Callithrix jacchus: one gene and its partners. The protein of the gene in region 1 interacts with the protein of each later gene in a biochemical or structural test. Links are inferred from orthologs where the notes say so. Each region holds a gene or a part of one and is shown in the gene's direction. Other genes may lie near its edges.

Region 1 (2,708 bases):
CAGCTCTTTTATGCCTTTGGCCTGAGGCCTCCTCATTTCTTCCCCCAGGCATCCCAACATCCTGCGGCTGTACAACTACTTTTATGACCGGAGGAGGATCTACTTGATTCTAGAGTATGCTCCCCGTGGGGAGCTCTACAAGGAGTTGCAGAAGAACCGCACATTTGATGAGCAGCGAACAGCCACGGTCCGGGAGCGTGGGCACCTAGGGCGCCGGTAGGGGCTTGTGCTGCTTGTAGCTGGAGGTCCATCTTTGTCTGACTGCCTGTCATTGGCCCTTCCAGATCATGGAGGAGTTGGCAGATGCTCTAATGTACTGCCATGGGAAGAAGGTGATTCACAGAGACATAAAGCCAGAGAATCTGCTCTTAGGGCTCAAGGGAGAGCTGAAGATTGCTGACTTCGGCTGGTCTGTGCACGCACCCTCCCTGAGGTATGGTGGCCTGGGAGGCCAGAGGTGTGAGGCTGGGCCATTAAAACCTCTCCAGGAACAAGTTTCACGTTAGCTCAGTTGGTTAGAGTGTGGTGCTAATAATGCCAAGGTTGCAGTTTTGGTATCTGTACAGGCCAGTGGCCAAACTTTGGCCAGGCACGGTGACTCACACCTGTAATCCCAGCACTTTGGGAGGCCAAGGTGGTTGGATCACTTGAGGCCAGAAGTTCAAGACTGGCGGACCTGCCTGGCCAACATGGCAAAACCCCCTCTCTGCTAAAAATAGACATGGTGGTACACACTTGTAATCCCAGCTGTTCAGGAGGCTGGCACATGAGAATCGCTTGAACCCGGGAGGTAGAGGTTGCAGTGAGTCAAGATCGCCCCACTGCACTCCAGCCTGGACTTTGTCTCAAAAAAGCCCAGGAGCAGCAGCCTTTTTTTCTTCCATACCTTTTTTTTCATGGTTTCATAGTATCACATGGTAGAGATACAACCTGATTTATTTAAGCAGAACATGCCTGATGGGCATTAGAGATGTCTCCAATTATTTCTTTAACTCCAAAATGAACATTGCCCACACATTGGATTATCTTTTTTTTTTTTTTGAGATGGAGTCAAAAACACAAAACCAGAAAGATATGGAGTCTTGCTCTGTCATCCAGGCTGGAGTGCAGTGGCACAATCTTGGCTCACTGCAATCTCCGCCTCCCCAGTAGCTGAGACTACAGGCATGTGTCAACACATCCGGCTAACTTTTTTTGTATTTTTAGTAGAGAGTTTCACTGTGTTAGCCAGGATGGTCTCCATCTCCTGACCTCCTGATCCGCCCACGTTGGCCTCCCAAAGTGTAGGGATTACAGGCATGAGCCACTGTGCCTGGCCTTAGATTATGTTAAGATATATCCGACAGTGTAGAATTGCTGGGGCTATGTGCAGGCTTAACTCTGGGGCTTCGGGATATATCATCATCCCACCCCCACCCCAGTAACCCTGCCTGGCTGGACCTCTCCCGTGGTACATCCTGTGGTCTTTTGGCTCCCTGCTGTCAGGCAGCAGGGAAAGGAGAGATTGTATGTCACTGGGACCCCTGCCCACACCGCTTATCCCTCCCAGGAGGAAGACAATGTGTGGTACCCTGGACTACCTGCCCCCTGAGATGATTGAGGGGCGCACGCACAACGAGAAGGTGGATCTGTGGTGCATTGGAGTACTTTGCTACGAGCTGCTGGTGGGGAACCCACCCTTTGAAAGTGCATCACACAATGAGACCTATCGGCGCATCGTCAAGGTGGGAGGGTGGCCTGGGCTTCATGCCAGATGCAGAGGCCAGGGGCTGGGGGGCTGAGGGTGTGTGGGCAGAGTGTATTTGCATGGCCCTAAGTAACTCCAAACAGAATGGGTAGTCAAGGAAGATGTAGCCAGGATGAAACTAATGCAGCCCTTCCATCTCTTCATATCTGCAGGTGGACCTAAAGTTTCCCGCTTCAGTGCCCACGGGAGCCCAGGACCTCATCTCCAAGTTGCTCAGGCATAACCCCTCAGAACGGCTGCCCCTGGCCCAGGTCTCAGCCCACCCTTGGGTCCAGGCCAACTCTCGGAGGGTGCTGCCTCCCTCTGCCCTTCAATCTGTCGCCTGATGGTCCTTGTCATTCACTCGGGTGTGTCTATGTTTGTATGTCTGTGTATGTACAGGGGAAAGAAGGGGCCCTGACTGTTCCCTTGTCTGTCTTCTACCTCCTCCTTTGTTTAATAAAGGCTGAAGCTTTTTGTATACTGATGAGTGTAGATGTTTCTAGGTGGATGCTTTGCTGTGGTGGAAGCTGTTCCTTAGAAGAGAGCTGGCCCACCCTGAGGAGCTGGGATGAGCATTACTTTGCTATCCCTGGTAATACCCTACCCTCTCAGCTCTGACTCTCACCTGGTCAGTTCCCAGCCAACGCCACCCCCACTTCCACCTCTGCCCTCACTGTCTATTCGCTCCCAGAGCCTGGAGGCGCTGGACCCTGGCACACCAGCCATCTCTGGCCACTTTTCACCTCTCTCTTGGTTGTCTGACTTGTAGTTTTTCCTCTTCTGGTTCATTCTCTGCCCCTTTGCCATTGTAGGAGCAACTGAACAATGCTGTACCCTAGAAGTCGTCTTTGCTTGTTTCTTTTACTGCTCTGGTACAGGAGCCAAAGAAGCAGTAGTGATTCGGTCTTGTTCCTGACACAAGGTTTCACAGTTACATATGAAGCTTTCTGTAGGTTTTTCATAGATACCCTTTTTCAGG
Region 2 (3,500 bases), on another chromosome or scaffold:
TTGGGTTGCCTGGTGGCTTTATGGGAGTCTGCTATATTGTATTATCACTTACATTTAACAGTCTAATGTATCAAATAGTTAAAAAAAATTTTTTATCTCAAAATATTGTTCCTCATATTTTGGTGAAATAACTGGTGCTTTCTGGCTCTGTTTGTCATAGGCTGACCTGGATATCACTGAAATAAACAAACTAACAGCAGAAGCTATTCAGACACCCCTGAAATCTGCCAAAAGTGAGTACTTTTCAAAACTCCTTGTCCAATAGAAAGAACTGAGGCTCAGCTTGCGTGGTTGGCTGCTCAGCCAGGGCCCTCTTGGTAGAGTGTCTTCCCTTTAATGTCTGGTTCTTAATCTTGTAAATCTAAAGACTTGCTTTTGGATGCTGTATTTTGCTTTGTTTTGTTTTGTTTTACCCAAACACCAATTCAAACCAGAAATTTAGTTTATTGTATGCAGGACTGCTGCTAACCAACCTCAAGACCGCTGTGTGAACTAAAGTGAAAGTGAAAAAAGGAAAAATACAAAGCTGTGCTAGAAACCAAACATTGTTGCTAGAGAGGTGTTAAAAGACTGGTAAGACCACCTGAGAATCAGCAAAGTTGAAAGAGAACTGAAAAAGGAGTGACTTGACCTGGGCACGGTGGCTCACACTTGTAATCCCAACACTTTGGGAGGCCGAGGCGGGCAGATCCCCTGAGGTGGGGAGTTCAAGACCAACCTGACCAATATGCAGAAACCCCATCTCTACTAAAAATACAAAATTAGTCAGGCATGGTGGTGAATGCCTATAATCCTAGCTACTCAGGAGGCTGAGACAGGAAAATCACTTGAAGCCAGGAGGCAGAGGTTGCCATGAACCAAGATCGGGCCATTGCACTCCAGCCTGGGCAACAAGAACAAAGCTCCGTCTCAATAGAAAAGAAAATAAAAAAAGAAATGACTTGGCCGGGTGCAGTGGCTGATGCCTGTAATCCCAGCATTTTGGGAGGCTGAGGCAGGCAGATCATGAGGTCAGGAGATCGAGACCATCCTGGCCAACGGGGTAAAACCAGTGTCTACTAAAAATACAAAAATTAGCCAGGCATGGTGGTATGTGCCTGTAGTCCCAGCTACTCGGGCGGTTGAGGCAGGAAAATCCCTTGAAGCCGGGAGGCGGCGGTTGCAGTGAGCCAAGATTGCGCCACTGTACTCCAGCCTGGCGACAGAACGAGACTCTGTCTCAAAAAGAAAGAAAGAAAGAAAAAGAAGTGACTTTCTCTGCATAAAGTTCAAAGTTACTCAATTCAGGCCAGATGTAGTGACTCACACCTGTAATCCTAAGCCATGAGGATCAGTTGAGCCCAGGAGTCCAAGACCATTCTGGGCAACATAGTGAGATGCTATCTCTGATTAAAAAAAAGAAAGAAAGAAAAGGGAGAAAAAAAGGTACTCAATTCCACGATCTATCTGCATAAAATCATCTTACATACATGTCCCACACTCTGAGAAACACTATCTTACAGGAAAAGTTATATGGGAGACCAGGCTGTGACTAGTGAGCAAGGAATTGGGTCAGGATGAATTGTGACATGGACTTAATGTCACCGTCATTAAGCTATGATAGTTTGATGCATCCAGCTCTTATAAGAACATCCTGACCCATGGCCAGGATTTCCAGGCAGGGCAAGTTCAAGTTTGTCTTATTCAGAATGCTGGGCTGTCCCTACAAAGCATCATGTGGGGTTTCTTAACACTGATTAGTTTCCTTTATCTAAACTCTCTTTCTTAAAAAGTCTTCTTTAGGCTGGGCACGGTGGCTCAAGCCTGTAATCTCAGCACTTTGGGAGGCCGAGGCGGGTGGATCATGAGATCAACAGATCGAGACCATCCTGGTCAACATGGTGAAACCCCGTCTCTACTAAAAATACAAAAAATTAGTTGGGCATGGTGGCACGTGCCTGTAATCCCAGCTACTCAGGAGGCTGAGGCAGGAGAATTGCCTGAACCCAGGAAGCGGAGGTTGCGGTGAGCCGAGATCGCGCCATTGCACTCCAGCCTGGGTAACGAGAGCGAAACTCCGTCTCAAAAAAAAAAAAAAAAAAAGTCTTCTTTAATTTTAGTTCATTTCTTAATTGCAGTTTAGGATTGCATATGTTTTATTCCTATAAGAAATGTGAATGCCCAAAACTTTATTCTCATTAGAAATACCACACTGTTGAAACTGTTTCTTATAGCACGAAAGGTAATACAAGTTGATGAAATGATAGTGGAAGAGGAAGAAGAAGAAGAAGAAAATAAACATAAGAATCTTCAAACTGCGAGAGTAAGTGGACACTGAGGTTGGGGGCTGAGGGCTACCATGAAACAAGCAAATACAAAAATGCATAAAATACGTTGTTGTGCACCAGAGCTTACAGTTTAGTAGAGATGATCCTACTTTACATGGCAGTGACAAAAGTGATAATTGACTGGTGTCCAAAGTGTAGAGAACACAGAAGAAGAAGGTAGCAAGTCTCCCCTACCCCATTAGGACATGGGCAGGGCTTTCAAGGTGAGTGAGAGCCTGCTAGCTGAAGAAGAAAGGGAAGAGGAACAGTATTCAGGATAAATGGGGGAGGGGGAAACTGGAGATGGGGAAACCAGTTGGAAGCTTATAAATTCTTGAACTGACATGCTGATACTATAAAAAGAAGGGATGGTTTTGAGATAGGTTTTAGAAAGTGGCATGGTTGGTGGAGAAAAGGAGGAATCAGAGACGACTCCATGGTTTCTAGCTAAGGCAACCGCCATCCAGTGAGGTGTGGGACTTGGGTGGCAGAGTGGTGCTGGACTAGGGGTAGGAGGAGTACATGTCAATTGCATGGCATGTGGACCATTCGATACTTTTCCAGGACATCTAGGCTAGACAGAAATTTCAGCCTGGAGCTCAGGGAGAAGAGGGAGATTGAGAAATACACTGCCTCCCAGATCTTTAGGTGTTTGTCCCACTGTGGGAGTGGAGATGGTTATGCAGGAAGGGAGGGAGCCTCAGGGTGAACATACAGGGAGGGTAGAGAGAGGAGCTCCTAAGGCAGGCTGCCAAGGAAGCTAGAGAAGCAGGCAAGATGGATCCATCACGGAGGACAAGGGAGGAGTGAATATATGGAAGATAAGGAGTGATTCTTGCCAGGGACCTCCCAGGCCCCAGGATGGGAGCACTGCAGGCTTTGCCTTCAATTGTGCACCTGAGATGCCCTGAGTGACCTTCACAGCAGCCCTTTATGTATCCTAGAGGGGGACAAGCCAGGCTGCAATCAGTTCAAAAGAGATTTACTTTTAATCTTGGCCCAAATCCTCTATTTTGAAAACCCAGCCAGTGGAAATTCAGTTAAGTTATGTTCTGAACTATTTAAGTCATTGAATTCTTATTATATTTAGTATTAACTATCCAAAGCTTGTTCCCTTTCTCTTTGTTTTTTGTTTTTGTGTTTTTAAACCCTTTTAAAAAAAAAAACCCTCCTTACTCTCCTTACCTTTCCTCT
Region 3 (4,110 bases), on another chromosome or scaffold:
ATGTTGACCAAGCTGGTCTTGAACTCCTGACCTCGGGTGATCCGCCTTGGCCTCCCAAAGTGTTGGGATTACAGGTGTGAGCCATCGCACCCGGGCCCAGCATTTGTCCTTTGGTGACTGCCTTAAACTTAGCATAATGTCCTCAAGGTTCATCTATGTTGCAGCACCCGTCGGAATTCCCTTCCTTTTTTTTTTTTTTTTTTTTTTTTGAGACGGAGTTTCGCTCTTGTTACCCAGGCTGGAGTGCAATGGCGCAATCTCGGCTCACCGCAACCTCCGCCTCCTGGGTTCAGGCAATTCTCCTGCCTCAGCCTCCTGAATTCCCTTCCTTTTTAAGGCTGTTTCTGCCTTTGGGCTGTTGTGAAGAATGCTGCTATCAACATGGGTGTGGGAATATCTGTTCAAGTCCCTGGCTGTATTTAAATTCTTTTGGATATTTAGCCAGAAGTGGAATTACTGGATCATCTCGTAATTCTATTTTTGATTTTTTGAGGAACCACTAATACTGTTTTTCACAGCAGCCGCAGCATTTTACACTCCCACCAGCAATGCACCAGGTTTCCATGAAATCACTAATTTTATAACTAACGTTTTTCCTGATTACAGACAGTACACGTTCACTGTAGAACATTTAGAAAATTCAAGAAAGAAAATTTAGAAAATTTAAATTCCCCTTATTCCACATACAGGAACATGACTTGAATTTTTATTATCCCCAACAAAGAGGAGAAAGGGTTTTTCTGGGACGATTGCGTTGCTATAGTGCCGAGGCCTGCCCTGCACGGATCTCATCCTCAAAGCCCCTCCGATCCCGGCGTCCCCGCGACCCCAAGCATCAGCCAAGTTCATGCAGTTGAACTGGCTTCTGAGTATATACGTGGATAATTCCCCGGAGGGCCGCAGACGCGACATGGGGTGGGTCTGGGTTGCTAGGGCAAAACATAAAATGTTTGAGGAAAGTGACTTGTCTAGAGAAGCACGTTCTGCAAACGCACCATCCACGTTCCAAACTGAGCATCGGTGTTTTGACCGAAGGGCACCTGAGGACATCAGTACAGTCCTGCAAAGGCCAGCACCCAGATCAGCAAGCAGAGAGCAGGAGAATTCCCCGCCCCATCTCACTTCTTTAAGTGCCTATTGGCTGATTTCACCATTAGTCCCCGCTGGCCTGCTATCACCGCCGCCGTTTGTGTCTCGGCCAGTACTCTCATTGGTCCTATCCGCAGTCGCTCTACGTAAGGGGCGTTCCAGAGTCAGCCACTGAGAGTCGCTGGATTCGGGTTTTAAAAAACGCGGGCGGTGAAGTGGGCGGAGCGAGCGATTTGAACGCGAGCGGCGCGGAACGTGGTTAAGCACCGGCTCCTCTAAGGCTCGCGGTCCAGGGCTCTCCGAGCCTACCCAGACGCCAGCCTTTTGTCCCTGGACCCGGCAGCCCAAGCAGGAGCCGTGGGGCCGGGCGCCAGCACTCTCCGCGGCGCGCCATGGGCCCGCGCCGCCGGAGCCGCAAGCCCGAGGCCCCGAGGAGGCGCAGCGCGAGCCCGACCCCCAGCCCCTCCCGGCGGGGCCCCTCCTTAGGTAACCGGCTGCGGCCCTGTCTCGTAGAGGAGAAAACCGAGGCTCGCAGGCGGAGCCCGGATCTCCCGAGTCCCGGTCGCGTGACCTTCCCCTGCTGGGGGACAACACGGTTCCGCTGTCCGGCATCCGCCCCGGGCACGAGCGGTGTCAGCCCTGCGAGGGACTGGAGCAGGCGGTTCGAAGCGGGAAGGGACCAGCTCCTAACGCCGCCTGCTTGTTAGGACTAGCGGTTACCCAGCGCCCACCGCCAACCAGGCATTGCGTCCCTACTGTTCGTGCGTTATCTCAGCTTCAGGTCGTACGCGTTTTATAGCTAATGAAAAAGCCGAGGCACAGACAGGCCAGGGAGCTTGAGCAGAGTCACATAACTTGTTCTGGCGGACACGGGATTTCCAATCCTCTGTGTCTGTGCTTTTTTAAAATTGCAAAAGTATTGACTGCTTTCAGTGACGATTTCAAACTGCAGTCCTCTTAGGAGGCGTCTTTCAGGTTTTTTTCCCTTCCGGGAGAGACTGTTTAGACCTTGAACCGAGGCCCTCTGCGATGCTCACTCTGTTACCTTCCAGAGCTTATGTCCGGCAAAGAGGGGCCGAAGTCTGTGTCTTCACTGTCTGTATGGTGGGCTGGTGGATGGGAAACAGGGGCAGGAGGACGCAGATGCCTGTATGGTACGCGTGGCAATAGCTGCTTTACTTATCTCTAAACTCTTGCTACATAGCCATGAACAAGATGGGGAAAGTGTATTGTAAATTTGTTTGTTTTTTTTAGAGACTGGGTCTCCCTGTGTTGTCCGGACTGGTGTCAAATAAGTGATCCTCCTGCCTGGGCCTTCCAAAGTGCTGGGATTACAGGCATGAGCCACTGCGCCTATAGGCTTTTTGTGTTTTTTGTGTTTTTTTGAGACCCATCGCCCAGGCTGGAGTGCTGTGATGCCATCAGGGCTCACTACAGCCTCAATTTCCCAGGCTCAGTGATTCTCCCACCTCAGCCTCCTGAGTAGCTGGGACTACTGGCATGTACCACCACGCCTGGCTAATTTTTTGTAGTTTTAGTAGAGATGGGGTTTTGCCATATTGCCTAGGCTAGAGTAGGTTTTTCTAGATGTTGCTGTCGTGAATGGGATGTTTTTTCTTTTCCAAAACATGAGTATTTAACCTTTGCATCCAGCCGACTTGCCGAATTCTCATGCATCCTAATAGTCTTTTAGTTGCTTCAGTTGGAATTTTTAAGTCGACTATATGTCACCTGCAGATAACTTTTGAGTCTTCCGTTTTCGTTTCTACACATTTTATTTCTTACTGTATGGTATTAGTAAGGCCCTGAGATTCGCCAAGAGCAGTGTTTTGGCCATCTTTGTCTCATTTGTAATTTTAACAGGAATATTAAGTGTGATGTTTGCTGTTCCTTTCCAAGGTAGAAACATCCTTCTATTCCTGGTTAAATGGAAGGTTTCTCTCAAATGGGCTCTCAACACTTCTTGGTAGTCCTACCTGCTTTGTCTGGTATTCTCTAATTTTAGAGACAGAGTCTCACTTTGTCATCCGGGCTGGAGTGCAGTGGTGCTATCTTGGCTAATTGCAGCCTTGACCTCTTGGGCTCATGTGATCCTCCGGCTTCAAAATGTTTTGACTCTACAAAAATATTGCCCAGCATGGTCTTGAACTCCTGGCCTAAAGTGGTTCTCCCGCCTTGGCCTTCCAGAATGATGGGATTACAAGAATGAGCCATCTTGCCTGGCCTTTGTCTGGAATTCTTGCTTTTTCATTCTCCCCATGACTATTTCTTTTATTTTCTTTTCTTTTCTTTTCTTTTTTTTGAGACGGAGTCTTGCTGTATCACCAGGCTGGAGTCAGTGGCATGATCTCGGCTCACTACAACCTCCGCCTCCTGGGTTCAAGTGATTCTCCTGCCTTAGCCTCCCAAGTAGCTGGGACTACAGGTGTGTGCCACCATGCCCAGCTAATATTTTATTTTTAGTAGAGCGGGGTTTCACCATATTGACCAGGATGGTCTTGATCTCTTGACCTCATGATCTGCCTGCCTCAGCCTCCCAAAGTGCTGGGATTATAGGTGTGAGCCACCACGCCTGGCCCTCATGACTATTTCATACCTTTTCCTCCCTCCATGACTTCCTACAGCTCCATTCCCCCCACTCACTCTTAGCTAATGATGGCCTTGACTAAGTTCCCCTTCCTATCAAAGCCACCCCTCCTTCTACATGGGCTCTTGGTCATATCCTTCTTTCACCTACAAGGAGCTTTCTGTTGTCCTTTCTACCTGTGCTTAGATAAATCCAGACACTTCACATTAGCATTGGCAAATGTGCTCTAGTATTTATGATGTTAAGAGAAAGTACAGGAGTGTTTCCTTGACCCCACATTCTCACCTCCCTATACCTCCCATTTCTCTCTACTCCCCCTTCATAGCCATCGTTTTAAAATAGCCAGACTTAGTTAGGTCTACATATGTTGTGTCTGATTCCTTCCATCCTAGTGACCCTACAACCTACTCCAATCTGACTCCCCACAACCACTA
Region 4 (3,500 bases), on another chromosome or scaffold:
TTGAGCCACATGATAGTAAGTAAAAGATTTAGCATCAAGGTTTTCTTTTCTTTTCTTTTTGAGATGGAGTTTCGCTCTGTCACTCAGGCTGCAGTGCAGTGGCTCAATATCGGCTCACTGCAACCTCCACCTCCCAGGTTTGACTGATTTTCCTGCCTTAGCCTCCTGAGTAGCTGGGATTACAGGTGCACGCCACCATGCCTGGCTGATTTTCTGCATTTTAGTAGAGACGGAGTTTCATCATGTTGCCCAGGCTGGTCTCGAACTTCTGAGCTCAGGCAGTCTGCCTGCCTCAGCGCCTCCCAAAGTGCTGTGATTACAGATATAAGCCACAATGCCTGCCCTTTTTTTTTTTTTTGAAAGAGAGTCTCACTCTGTTGCCTAGGCTGGAGTGCAGTGGCACAATTTCGGCCCACGGCAACCTCCACCTCCTAGGTCAAGTGATTCTCCTGCCTCAGCCTCTTGAGTAGCTGGGATTATAGGCGCCCACCACCACACCTGGCTAATTTTCGCATTTTTAGAAGAGATGGGGTTTCACCATGTTGGCCAGCCTGATGTCAACCTCCTAACCTCAGGTGATCTGTGGTGATCCACCAGCCTCAGTCTCCCGAAGTGTTGGGATTGCGGATGTGAGCCACCCTGCCCTGCCAACGTCCAGGTTTTCTGCTTCTTGTAAATAAGTTCTTTTCATTACCACACACTGCTGCCTTCCAGCTGGATGACCTTAAACAAATTACTTAACCTCTTTTTGCATCTGTTTTCTCATCTTAAAATGAAGAAAACAAAACCTATCTTCTGGGATTACTGTGAGAATTACATATGTAAATACATGTAAAGAGCTTAGAAAGTTTTTTAGCACATACTAAGTGCTCAATAAATGTTAGTTGATTATAGTGTGGTGGCTCATGCCTGTAATCCCAGCACTTTGGGAGGCTGTGGTGGGCAGATCACCTGAGGTTGGGAATTCCAGATGAGTCTGACCAACATGGAGAAACTCTGTTTCTACTAGTAATAAGAAAATTAGCCAGGTATGGTGGTGCATGCTTGTAATCCCAGCTACGTAGAAGACTGAGGCATGAGAATTGCTTGAATCCAGGAGGTGGAGGTTGTGGTGAGCCGAGATTGCACCATTGCACTCCAGCCTGGGCAACAAGAGCAAAACTCCATCTCAAAAAAAAAACAAAGAGGCCGGGCACGGTGGCTCACACCTGTAATCCCAGCACTTTGGGAAGCTGAGGCGGGCAAATCATGAGGTCGGGAGTTCAAGACCAGCCTGGCCAACATGGAGAAACCCCCATCTCTACTAAAAATATAAAAAATTAGCTGGGCATAGTGGCAGGCACCTGTAATTCAGCTATACAGGAGGCTGAGGCAGGAGAATTGCTTGAACCTGGGAGGTAGGGGTTGTAGTGAGCCAAGGTTGTGCCACTGCACTCCAGCCCAGGTGACAGAGTGAGACTCCGTCACACACACACAAAAAGTTTAGTTGATTATGTTAATGATTTTCTAATTTATATCACTCTGTTCCTTTTGCCCTGTGTTATCCCAGGTTATTAAACCTGAGTCCTGTGTTCCATGTGGAAAGCGGATAAAATTTGGCAAACTATCTCTGAAGTGTCGAGACTGTCGTGTGGTCTCTCATCCAGAATGTCGGGACCGCTGTCCCCTTCCCTGCATTCCTACCCTGATAGGAACACCTGTCAAGATTGGAGAGGTATGACTTATGTGAGCCATCGTTTTATGGCCTCTTTATTAGCCTTTCAAAGGCTTAGTGTCAGTTTTTGTTCTAAAATTAATGATCCCAGGCTGGCAGTGGCTCACACCTGTAATCCCAGCATTTTGGGAGGCAGAGGCCGGCTGATCACGAGGTTAAGAGATCAAGATCATCCTGGCCAACATGGTGAAACTCCGTCTACTAAAAATACGAAAAATTAGCTGGGCATGGTGGCGCATGCCTGTAATCCCAGCTACTTAGGAGGCTGAGGCAGGAGAATTGCTTGAACTTGGGAGGCAGAGATTGCAATGAGCCAAGATAGCACCACTGCATTCCAGCCTGGTGATGGAGCGAGAGTCTGTCTCAAAAAAAAAAAAAAAGAAAAGAAAAGAAAAGAAAAGAAAATTAACGATCCTAAATATATTTCTTTCCACAAATAATGAATAGAATTGCAAAATATTTACTTGTAGAAGAGTCATGTTTGGGTTTGTCTGTCCTTTCTAAACCAAACTTCTTTTCCCTCCCCCTTTTCCTTCTTCCTCTTCCCTGCTTCTCCTTTCTTCCTCTTCCTTCCTTCCCCTCATCCCATTTTGGAAAATTTTAGACATATATAGAACTAGAGAGATGAGTATAACTAATCCTTGGTTCTTACAACTTGACTTCCATGATTACTAACTAGTTTCCACTCTCTCTCTCTCTTTTTTTTTTTTTGAGAGAGTCTCACTTTATTGCCTAGGCTGGAGTGCAGTGGCACGACCTCAGCTCACTGCAACCTTTGCCCCTCTGGGCTCAAGTGATTCTCTCACCCTAGCTTCCTGAGTAGTTGGGATTACAGAAATGAGCCACCACCATGCCTGGCTGATTTTTTTTGTTGTAATTTTAGTAGAGATGAAGTTTCACCATGTTGGCCATGCTGGTCTTGAACTTCTGACCTCAAGTGATCCACCCACCTCAGCCTTTCAAAGTACTGTGATTGCAGGCATGAGGCACCATGCCTGGCCGTGTCCATTCTTTTTTTAATGTCTTTTTTTTTTGGAGACAGAGTTTCCCTCTGTTGCCCAGGCTGGAGTGAAGTGTTGCAACCCTGGCTCACTGTAGTCTCTGTCTCCTGGGCTCAAGTGATTCTTGTGCCTCAGCCTCCCAAGTGGCTGGGACTACAGGCATGAGCCACCATGCTCAACTAATTTTTTATGTTTTTAGTAGAGATGGGGTTTTGCCATGTGCTCTCAAACTCCTGACCTCAAATGATCCGCCTACCTCACCCTCCCAGTGTTGGGATTACAGGTGTGATCTGTAATCCCGCACCCAGCCTTTATGTCTGTTCTTGATTTATCAGTAGTGTTGTTGCCTCCTCCTGACTGTCCAGTGAATTACTTTAAAGCAAGTATCAGCTATCATACAATTCTATCTGTGAATATTCTTGCTCTTATGTTAGACATACTCCGTAATAGGGTATCAAGATTAAGTTGCTTATTTCCAAATATTTAACCAGTTTAAACTGACTAAATCCATTAAGAAATTATTTATTGCTGAGCATGGTGGCTCATGCCTGTAATCCTAATACTTTTGGAGGCTGAGGCAGGAAAATCACTTGAGCCCAAGAGTTTGAGACCAGCCTGGACAATAACACAAGACTCCATCTCTCCAAAGAGTAAATAAATAAGTTAGCCAGGGTGAGTAGTGTGCACCTGTGTTCGCAGCTTCTTAGGAGGCTGGGTTGAACTCTTCTTGCTTGAGCTGGGGAGGTTGAAGCTGATTATGTACCGGCCTACCCCTCAGCAAATCA
Region 5 (4,055 bases), on another chromosome or scaffold:
CAGGTTTTTGATACATGCTAAAACTGATTGCTTGAAATACATCTCCTAATCCTAGAAAACATAAAGATTCCACACTCACCACATCACTTCCTGAAGAAGAAGAAGAAGAAGAAGAAGAAGAAGAAGAAGACAGACAAAGAAAAAAAAACTCAACATTGATTAAACTGGTTGCTAAGAGCAAACTCACTTTATTTTCTCAAGGAGGAGTCTGGAATCATAAGTAGAAAGGGCAAAGGAAGAGGTGTAAGAAGGTGGCCCCAGGCTGTAACCGTCAAGAAGGCAAAGAATGAATGGAAGACGAGGGGAAAAACAGGCTTGACTGGGATTTTTGTTGGGGGCTAGGTCGACGAAACAGAATCAAGATTCGGACCTAGAAAAGGAGTCCCACCAGAGTTTGGAAGCAGTTTGCACAGTGGTTAAGAGCCTGGGTGCCAGAATCACACCGCTTGGGATCCTGAGTCCCGCTTCTGCCACTTACTGTTTATATAACCTCCGGCAACTTGCTTAACCTCAGTTTTGTGACTTGTAAAATGGAAATAATAGTGTGTAACTTACAGAGTAGCTGTGAGTTAGGTAAGCTGATACTTCAGTGCTTGGTTCATAGCAGACGCTCAGTAAAACGTTAAACTGTTATTATTTGTAGTTTGTATCCTTCCTCTTTCTTAATGTTGCGTACTGCAGCAGGGAGAGGGAGGGATGAAGCGTTTATCCCACTGGAAGAGTGATATTTGTGTGAGAGCCTGGGTCAGACTTATTTTGAGACCTGGGCCCCAATGAGGTGAGGTGGCACCGCTTCCAGAGCACACCCTCTGCCCGAGCCCCGCCGTGACTGTGAGGAGGCCGAGGCCACGGCTGGCAAAATGCATGGGTGGACCTCCTTGAAGTGGCTAACCCCGGGCGGATGCACTGTTTTCCCTGGATACTTGACACTTTTCACTTTTTCTGCCTCCTGGCACTAGAAGTCACGTGGGCTCACACCCGAGCCTCCCGGTTTCGGAGGCTTGAGGGCCACTTAGCGGTCATTCAGCTTCAGGGTCCAGCCTCGTCGCGCTTTGGCTACAGCCTGGGAGTTCCGTTCGGACCCCACACACTGTCCTAGCCCCAGCTCCCCACCACCCTGCCTCCCGCGCAGGCGCTGCCGGGGCCACCCCCGCCGCCATGTTTCCCCCGCCCGCGCGCTCCCTCCCCCCACTACCCCCTCCCTCCCCAACTGGGTTCCCGCCCCCCTCCCTCGGCGGCCCCCCCACACCCTGGTGAGGTCAGGCGGAGGCTCTGCCGCTGCGGCCGCAGTAGCTCAGCTCTTATTGCCGGGAAACCTGGAACGGGGACTTTTGAAAATAACTGGAGCGGCATTCGGGTTAGGGTCCGTGCTCTCCGCCCGCGCCAGGACAGGGTGAAGTGGTCGGGCTAGCAGAGGGTGCGAAGGTGCGGGTGCTGGTGCCTCGCAGCAGAAGGGAGCTTGGGCTGCATCGCGCGACTCCCTCTTTGGCCCTCGGAGCGCAGCACCCGGCGGACGAGCGGCGCGACGCCAGGACGCGGCGAGCAAGGTGAGGCAGGGTCCTGAAGTCACAGGGGCTCCATCAGCCGCTTCCCCGCCTCTGGAACCGGCGCCGCGCGGTGCGCGGCGAGGAGTTGCGATCTGTGCCAGGGGCAGAGGAGCAGAGGAGCAGGGAACCAGCTTCGTTTTGCCCGCCCACCCTCTTTTTCTCCCGCGTCCTGGTGCGCGCCCTCATCCTTACACCTTCGCATCCCTTTCTCCCGGTCCCTCTGGCTCCGTCGGACACGTAGGTTCTTCTAGGACCCCAGAACCTAGTTTTCCTTTGCTTCTTTCTCATCTCTCCAAGATCTTCTTTTCTGGGCCTCGCTGTCGCTGCCCTGACAGTCTGGGGTCCCTCTGCCCACCTCGGCCCCACTGTCTCTTGCCCTCTAACAGTTTCTGCTTTGTGCCTCCTAATCCATCTCTCCTTCAGAATCTCCTAACTTGAGTCTTCTCTGCTGGCTTCCAACTGAAGAGCACACTCCTGTTCTCCAAGCTTTTAACTTCACTCTGCGTTCAGAATATCTTGACTTTTTTTTTTTTTAAATCACAGTTGACTAATGATTTTCTTGGAGGTTTGCAGTCTAGGCTACAGTTTACTGAAAGTGATGAGATCATTCCTTCTCTAAATATCCTTAGTAAATATCAACTAGGGAACTTTAAAGTTTCTTTCTAGGTTTCATTAAGTTAACCCAAGAACAATAGCCAGTTAAATGTGTGTGTGTGTGTATGTGTGTATGTGTATGTGTGTGTGTATATATGTGTGTGTGTGTGTGTGTGTGTGTATATATATATATATATATATATATATATATATGTTTGTACGCAATCTCATACATGATCCTAAATCTGATTCTTCCCTGGCTTCTCAGCAGGCCTGAGAGACAGAGGATTGGTGGAACTTGTGATGCCTGGCTCCATTTCTCTAATTGTAAACTATAATGTTCATCGTTTTAATGTAGTCAGAGGACTTTAGTGGTTTGGGATAAAGTCACTCAAGTTAACATAGGCTGGTTACTAAGCACATTGAATGGGGACTAAGAGACGCTGGGATTTAAAACTGTCTCTGGAGAGCACCTGCTTTTTTTTTTTTTTTTTCTGAAGCCACAGTTCCTTAACAGTGGATCTTGTATTTGTATAAACCCTCCAAAAGCAGCATATTTCAAAACAACGTAGTTTAAAAAAAAGTCTGCTCACTCTTAGCAATATCACTTTCTCCCCATGTAGTTATGGTGTTAGCTCCCAGGCTGAGGTTCATTTGCTCACTTCCATGCTGCAATTAGTGTGTGAAGGAAACTGAATGGAGAAGCAGAAAGTGGAGGCGAATACCAGTGAACAAGCACATGCTGACATATGCAGCTGTGTTTTTGGAAATAGGCCATATCTAGTGTTCAAATTTAAAAACTGAGGAAAATGAAATAATTCAGCATTTGTGACATCATTTTACATCTAAAAATATTAGCTCCCTTAACTGCAAGTTCTTATTAATATCCTTATACTTAATGGTAAAAGAGTTTGTTTGCCTGATGTGTGACCAAGTGTTGCGGTTGACACAGTGTGCACTAACTGGCAGCAATCTCAGAAGAAACCAAGTTGTGAATGATGATAATGGCTAAATTTTTTTGCCTGGTAGAACTTCTTATGGCAGTGAGATGAGAGTAGTTTCTGCTGCAACATCAAATGATGCATTTAAAAAACAGATAAATAAGAGCTTCAATTCTTAAAAAGCCCAATGTTTTTAATCTGCCATTTTTATAAGCACACTTCGAAAAGTGTAATGTGATTATATAAGGCTTAGTTGATGTTCTGAAGAAAGTAGTTTTCACAATAAAAGTAAAGCCTATTGCTTATCAATTTAGTTAGATAACTTGCAGATGATTTGTCATTTCCCAACTGATTTGGTAAATTTCTGAGTTTACTTGAGGTTTATTAAAAATTGGAATGTAGTGGGGAAAGGGTACTTACTCTAATAGCCCACCTTTCCAAATCTGTACTTTTCTTGAGAAACCATTCTCATAAGACATACAAACTTACAACTGTTTCAAGGAAAATAGTTTATACAATTTTCTTTTCATGATTATTATTGATACTGAGTCTAAGCTAAGATTGCCACTAATGTGATTGCATAGTAAGACTATTTGTATTTGTCAGGAAAGGAATAAAGGTGGATGTGAGTTAACCATTAGCATTTTGCTCTGAATCTTCAATATGATTCAGTGTGTGTTTGACAGTCCATCTGGTACACCTAGAGGTTATCAGACTGGATATTTCTGATGTTACTAAAGGTAACTGTACTTACTTATTGGATTATCTTCTTTCTCATTTTATTTACATTTTATATTATGTTTCTTCATGTAATTTGACTTGCATTAGTGAAATGAGACTGACCAATTTTCAAATTGTTTGATTTTTATTGATGTTTGATAAACCACTAAAACCTCTTGAAAATTTTTTTTCTTTAATCTGCTGGTTGAAACTGATCTATTTTTATTGCTATGAAATAATACAACAGATTTCC
Region 6 (3,931 bases), on another chromosome or scaffold:
AAAAGGGCACTGGTTAAATAATTTATGACAACTCAAAGGGCAACAATAGAATTATTTAAAAACATAGATAAGCCCTTTAAATACTAATTCAGGAAGATCTTGAAGTGAAAAAAGATGCAGAACAGTGTACATGGTGTGCTATTTTTTATATAAAAATGAGAGTGTAATAAAAATATGACTATGTTCTTACTTTGCATTTGCATAAAGAACTAGAAGGATTTAAAAGACATAAACTTCAAATTTGGAAAATGGAAGAAATTGTGCCAAAGTATACATTGATTTGTATGTCAGAATTTAAATTTACCACTAATTAAATAAATGCAAGTTAACAAAATACTCATAAAGGGAAAAGTCAGCAGAAGGGGTGATAATATTTTGGAAATATTGTCTTGGATCAGCATTTTACTAACTATCCGTAACAGGGCTAAAATTTTGCTACCAGATTCTATAAGTTCACTACAGATTCTATATAACAATGGAGGATAAGAAGGTACATATTCAGGAACAAACAATGGGCAAAGGAAACTATATTATGTATAGTTATAGGAAAATTATGTAGGCATTTTTTAAATTGTGGAAAACAAAGGCATTTCAAGCCAAAAATTTAGAATATACCATTTACATAATAGTCACAATCTAGCAAAGAGACAAATACTTTGTGCTTGAAATTACAACAAATTCGAAAATATGAACCAAAATTGTAACTGGGGTATTAAATAGTGTGCGATAATTATTGTTTTGTAAAAAACTAAGCATCCTCCCGTACTCTTCTACCAGGTTTTCTTTCAATTTATAAAAAAGCTGCATTTCACTGCTATTCAAAAAAACAGAAGCTAGGAAGTGTAAAGCTTTAAAAAATGCATTTGGGAAACGTAAGAGCTCAGATATGCGAAAACCTTACATCAAATATGCAGCATAACATATGTGCACACATTCTGTTCTATTTAGTCCCAAGTACAAGGCAACTCTAAGACGTCGGGCTGGAGTCAACTTCAGGGTGCCCCGCTTCCCCAACCTCGCAGTCCCCGGTTGCCGCGCTCCTCCTCCCCCTTCACCACCCCCACACATCCGCCCACTGACGAGCTCTGGAGGCTGCGCAGCCGCAGTAGCCGCAACGGCCGCTCCCACCCCGGGGGATCCTGGGACTAGGCTTTCCCGGAAGGAGCCGCTTGGGGACCGGGGCTAGGCCGGTGTTCCAGGCCCAAGCCCAGGTCCAGGTCTGTGTTCAGGCACTTGCTCAAAGACTGGCCGGTGGCCGCTGTGACACTCTAGGTACAGCGGAGGGCGCAGCAGGCAGCTCGCTGAGGAGCCTGGACTCGCCGCCGAGCGGGCCCTGGAGCCGCAGTACGTGGCTGCGCCTCCCCTTTGCCCGAAGCGGAACTGCTGAAGGAGCGGCAGCGCAGGCCAGACGAGGTAAACCGGGTCATTTATCCACCTACAGGTCATGAATTATCTGTCTAATAATCAGATTTGAGGTCCACAGCCCTTTGTGATCTTGCTACAGGGCGATTTTTAGTGGATGACTGACTGGCGTGGCCTGAGGGGTGCCGCAGTGACTGCTTTCCTTTGATAAGGAAACGAGCTCTCTGTTCTTTGTGGACACCTCGTTGACTGTAAAACATTCCGGTTATAACTTCTTTCTCCGGCCTGCATCTCTGTACAGGAGGAAAGCTTTCACATGAAAGTGTCCCTTGGTAACGGCGAAATGGGCGTCTCTGCCCATTTGCAGCCTTGTAAGGCAGGAACCACACGCTTTTTTACCAGCAATACTCACAGTTCGGTGGTACTGCAAGGCTTTGATCAGCTTAGAATAGAAGGATTGCTTTGTGATGTGACCCTCGTACCAGGTGATGGAGATGAAATCTTCCCTGTTCACAGAGCTATGATGGCGTCTGCTAGTGATTATTTCAAGGCTATGTTCACAGGTGGAATGAAAGAACAGGATTTGATGTGCATTAAACTTCATGGGGTGAACAAGGTTGGTCTGAAGAAAATCATTGATTTTATTTATACTGCAAAACTTTCTCTTAATATGGACAGTCTTCAGGACACACTTGAAGCTGCCAGCTTTTTACAAATACTACCTGTTTTGGACTTCTGTAAAGTATTTCTTATATCAGGAGTCTCTTTAGATAACTGTGTTGAGGTTGGACGAATTGCTAACACCTACAATCTTATAGAAGTGGATAAATATGTTAATAATTTCATCCTGAAGAACTTTCCTGCTTTACTGAGTACTGGAGAGTTTCTAAAACTCCCTTTTGAACGGCTTGCCTTTGTGCTTTCCAGTAACAGTCTTAAGCACTGTACCGAACTTGAACTCTTTAAGGCTGCCTGTCGCTGGCTAAGGTTGGAAGACCCTCGGATGGATTATGCTGCAAAATTAATGAAGAATATTCGATTTCCACTGATGACACCACAGGACCTCATCAATTACGTGCAGACGGTAGATTTCATGAGAACAGACAATACCTGTGTGAATCTGCTTTTGGAAGCTAGCAATTACCAAATGATGCCATATATGCAGCCAGTGATGCAGTCAGATAGAACTGCCATTCGATCGGACTCCACTCACTTGGTTACATTAGGAGGAGTTTTGAGGCAGCAGCTAGTTGTCAGTAAAGAATTACGGATGTATGATGAAAGGGCACAAGAATGGAGATCTTTAGCCCCGATGGATGCTCCCCGTTACCAGCATGGCATTGCTGTCATTGGAAACTTTCTTTATGTAGTTGGTGGTCAAAGTAATTACGATACAAAAGGAAAAACTGCTGTTGATACAGTTTTCAGGTTTGATCCTCGGTATAATAAATGGATGCAGGTTGCATCATTAAATGAAAAGCGCACATTCTTTCACTTGAGTGCCCTCAAAGGACATTTGTATGCAGTTGGTGGGCGCAGTGCAGCTGGTGAACTAGCCACAGTAGAATGTTACAACCCAAGAATGAATGAGTGGAGCTATGTTGCAAAAATGAGTGAACCCCACTATGGACATGCTGGAACAGTATATGGAGGCTTAATGTATATTTCAGGAGGAATTACCCATGACACTTTCCAAAATGAGCTCATGTGTTTTGACCCAGATACAGACAAATGGATGCAAAAGGCTCCAATGACTACAGTCAGAGGTCTGCATTGCATGTGTACAGTTGGAGACAAGCTCTATGTCATTGGTGGCAATCACTTCAGAGGAACAAGTGATTATGATGATGTTCTAAGCTGTGAATACTATTCACCAACCCTTGACCAGTGGACCCCAATTGCCGCCATGTTAAGAGGTCAAAGTGATGTTGGAGTTGCCGTCTTTGAAAATAAAATCTACGTTGTTGGTGGATATTCTTGGAATAATCGTTGTATGGTAGAAATTGTCCAGAAATATGACCCAGAAAAAGATGAGTGGCATAAAGTTTTTGATCTCCCAGAGTCACTTGGTGGCATTCGAGCTTGTACACTCACAGTTTTTCCACCCGAAGAAAACCCTGGGTCACCTTCTAGAGAATCACCTCTTTCAGCACCTTCAGATCATTCTTAGGTCTAAGGTGTAATACCTTTGCAGTACATCGTGGGTGATCTAATACTTCCCCTTCAGTTGTATCTTCTTACAGTGATTGGTACAGTTATTAGATATAAAGATAACTGATGTTATTTGTCTTGTTTGGCTTAGTGCGTTTATCAAATGGCTAACAAATGCATTCTGAAAATGTATTTAACATAGCTAGCTGTTTTTACAAATGAAAAAAAATAGATGTAGAAAAATGTTTAGATGTCTTCTTGTGATGTTATATAAAATTGTAGATGACTGTGGTAAATGTATAATTATGCCTCAAAGTTGAGTTTTCATCTTTGACTCCAAAATGTCAGAGGGAGGCCACTCTAACCTAAAAATAACAAAAGGTTGCTGAGTATAATGGCTGCCTCCCTCTTTTCCTAA

What was found.
Region 2: the proteins of AURKB (region 1) and CDCA8 form a complex in vitro, tested with the Homo sapiens proteins (3 studies listed by BioGRID, with this or other methods). The link is inferred for Callithrix jacchus from reciprocal best matches to the Homo sapiens genes AURKB and CDCA8.
Region 3: of the proteins of AURKB (region 1) and CENPA, one has a biochemical effect on the other in vitro, tested with the Homo sapiens proteins (3 studies listed by BioGRID). The link is inferred for Callithrix jacchus from reciprocal best matches to the Homo sapiens genes AURKB and CENPA.
Region 4: of the proteins of AURKB (region 1) and RACGAP1, one has a biochemical effect on the other in vitro, tested with the Homo sapiens proteins (2 studies listed by BioGRID and IntAct). The link is inferred for Callithrix jacchus from reciprocal best matches to the Homo sapiens genes AURKB and RACGAP1.
Region 5: of the proteins of AURKB (region 1) and KLHL13, one has a biochemical effect on the other in vitro, tested with the Homo sapiens proteins (2 studies listed by BioGRID and IntAct, with this or other methods). The link is inferred for Callithrix jacchus from reciprocal best matches to the Homo sapiens genes AURKB and KLHL13.
Region 6: the proteins of AURKB (region 1) and KLHL9 form a complex in vitro, tested with the Homo sapiens proteins (2 studies listed by BioGRID and IntAct, with this or other methods). The link is inferred for Callithrix jacchus from reciprocal best matches to the Homo sapiens genes AURKB and KLHL9.

Annotation. Positions count from the first base shown.
Region 1 is NC_133506.1:74,672,293-74,675,000, reverse strand, and holds the end of AURKB (aurora kinase B), read left to right. Parts: intron 1-48; coding exon 49-187; intron 188-284; coding exon 285-433; intron 434-1,549; coding exon 1,550-1,724; intron 1,725-1,899; coding exon 1,900-2,073; 3' UTR 2,074-2,208; downstream 2,209-2,708. UniProt on the Homo sapiens protein: Serine/threonine-protein kinase component of the chromosomal passenger complex (CPC), a complex that acts as a key regulator of mitosis.
Region 2 is NC_133508.1:74,255,919-74,259,418, forward strand, and holds part of CDCA8 (borealin), read left to right. Parts: intron 1-160; coding exon 161-233; intron 234-2,213; coding exon 2,214-2,302; intron 2,303-3,500.
Region 3 is NC_133515.1:88,212,135-88,216,244, reverse strand, and holds the start of CENPA (histone H3-like centromeric protein A), read left to right. Parts: upstream 1-1,310; 5' UTR 1,311-1,481; coding exon 1,482-1,575; intron 1,576-4,110. UniProt on the Homo sapiens protein: Histone H3-like nucleosomal protein that is specifically found in centromeric nucleosomes. Replaces conventional H3 in the nucleosome core of centromeric chromatin that serves as an assembly site for the inner kinetochore.
Region 4 is NC_133510.1:69,589,683-69,593,182, forward strand, and holds part of RACGAP1 (rac GTPase-activating protein 1), read left to right. Parts: intron 1-1,549; coding exon 1,550-1,714; intron 1,715-3,500.
Region 5 is NC_133524.1:114,040,794-114,044,848, reverse strand, and holds the start of KLHL13 (kelch-like protein 13), read left to right. Parts: upstream 1-1,255; 5' UTR 1,256-1,547; intron 1,548-4,055. UniProt on the Homo sapiens protein: Substrate-specific adapter of a BCR (BTB-CUL3-RBX1) E3 ubiquitin-protein ligase complex required for mitotic progression and cytokinesis.
Region 6 is NC_133502.1:128,320,033-128,323,963, reverse strand, and holds the start of KLHL9 (kelch-like protein 9), read left to right. Parts: upstream 1-1,131; 5' UTR 1,132-1,678; coding exon 1,679-3,532; 3' UTR 3,533-3,931.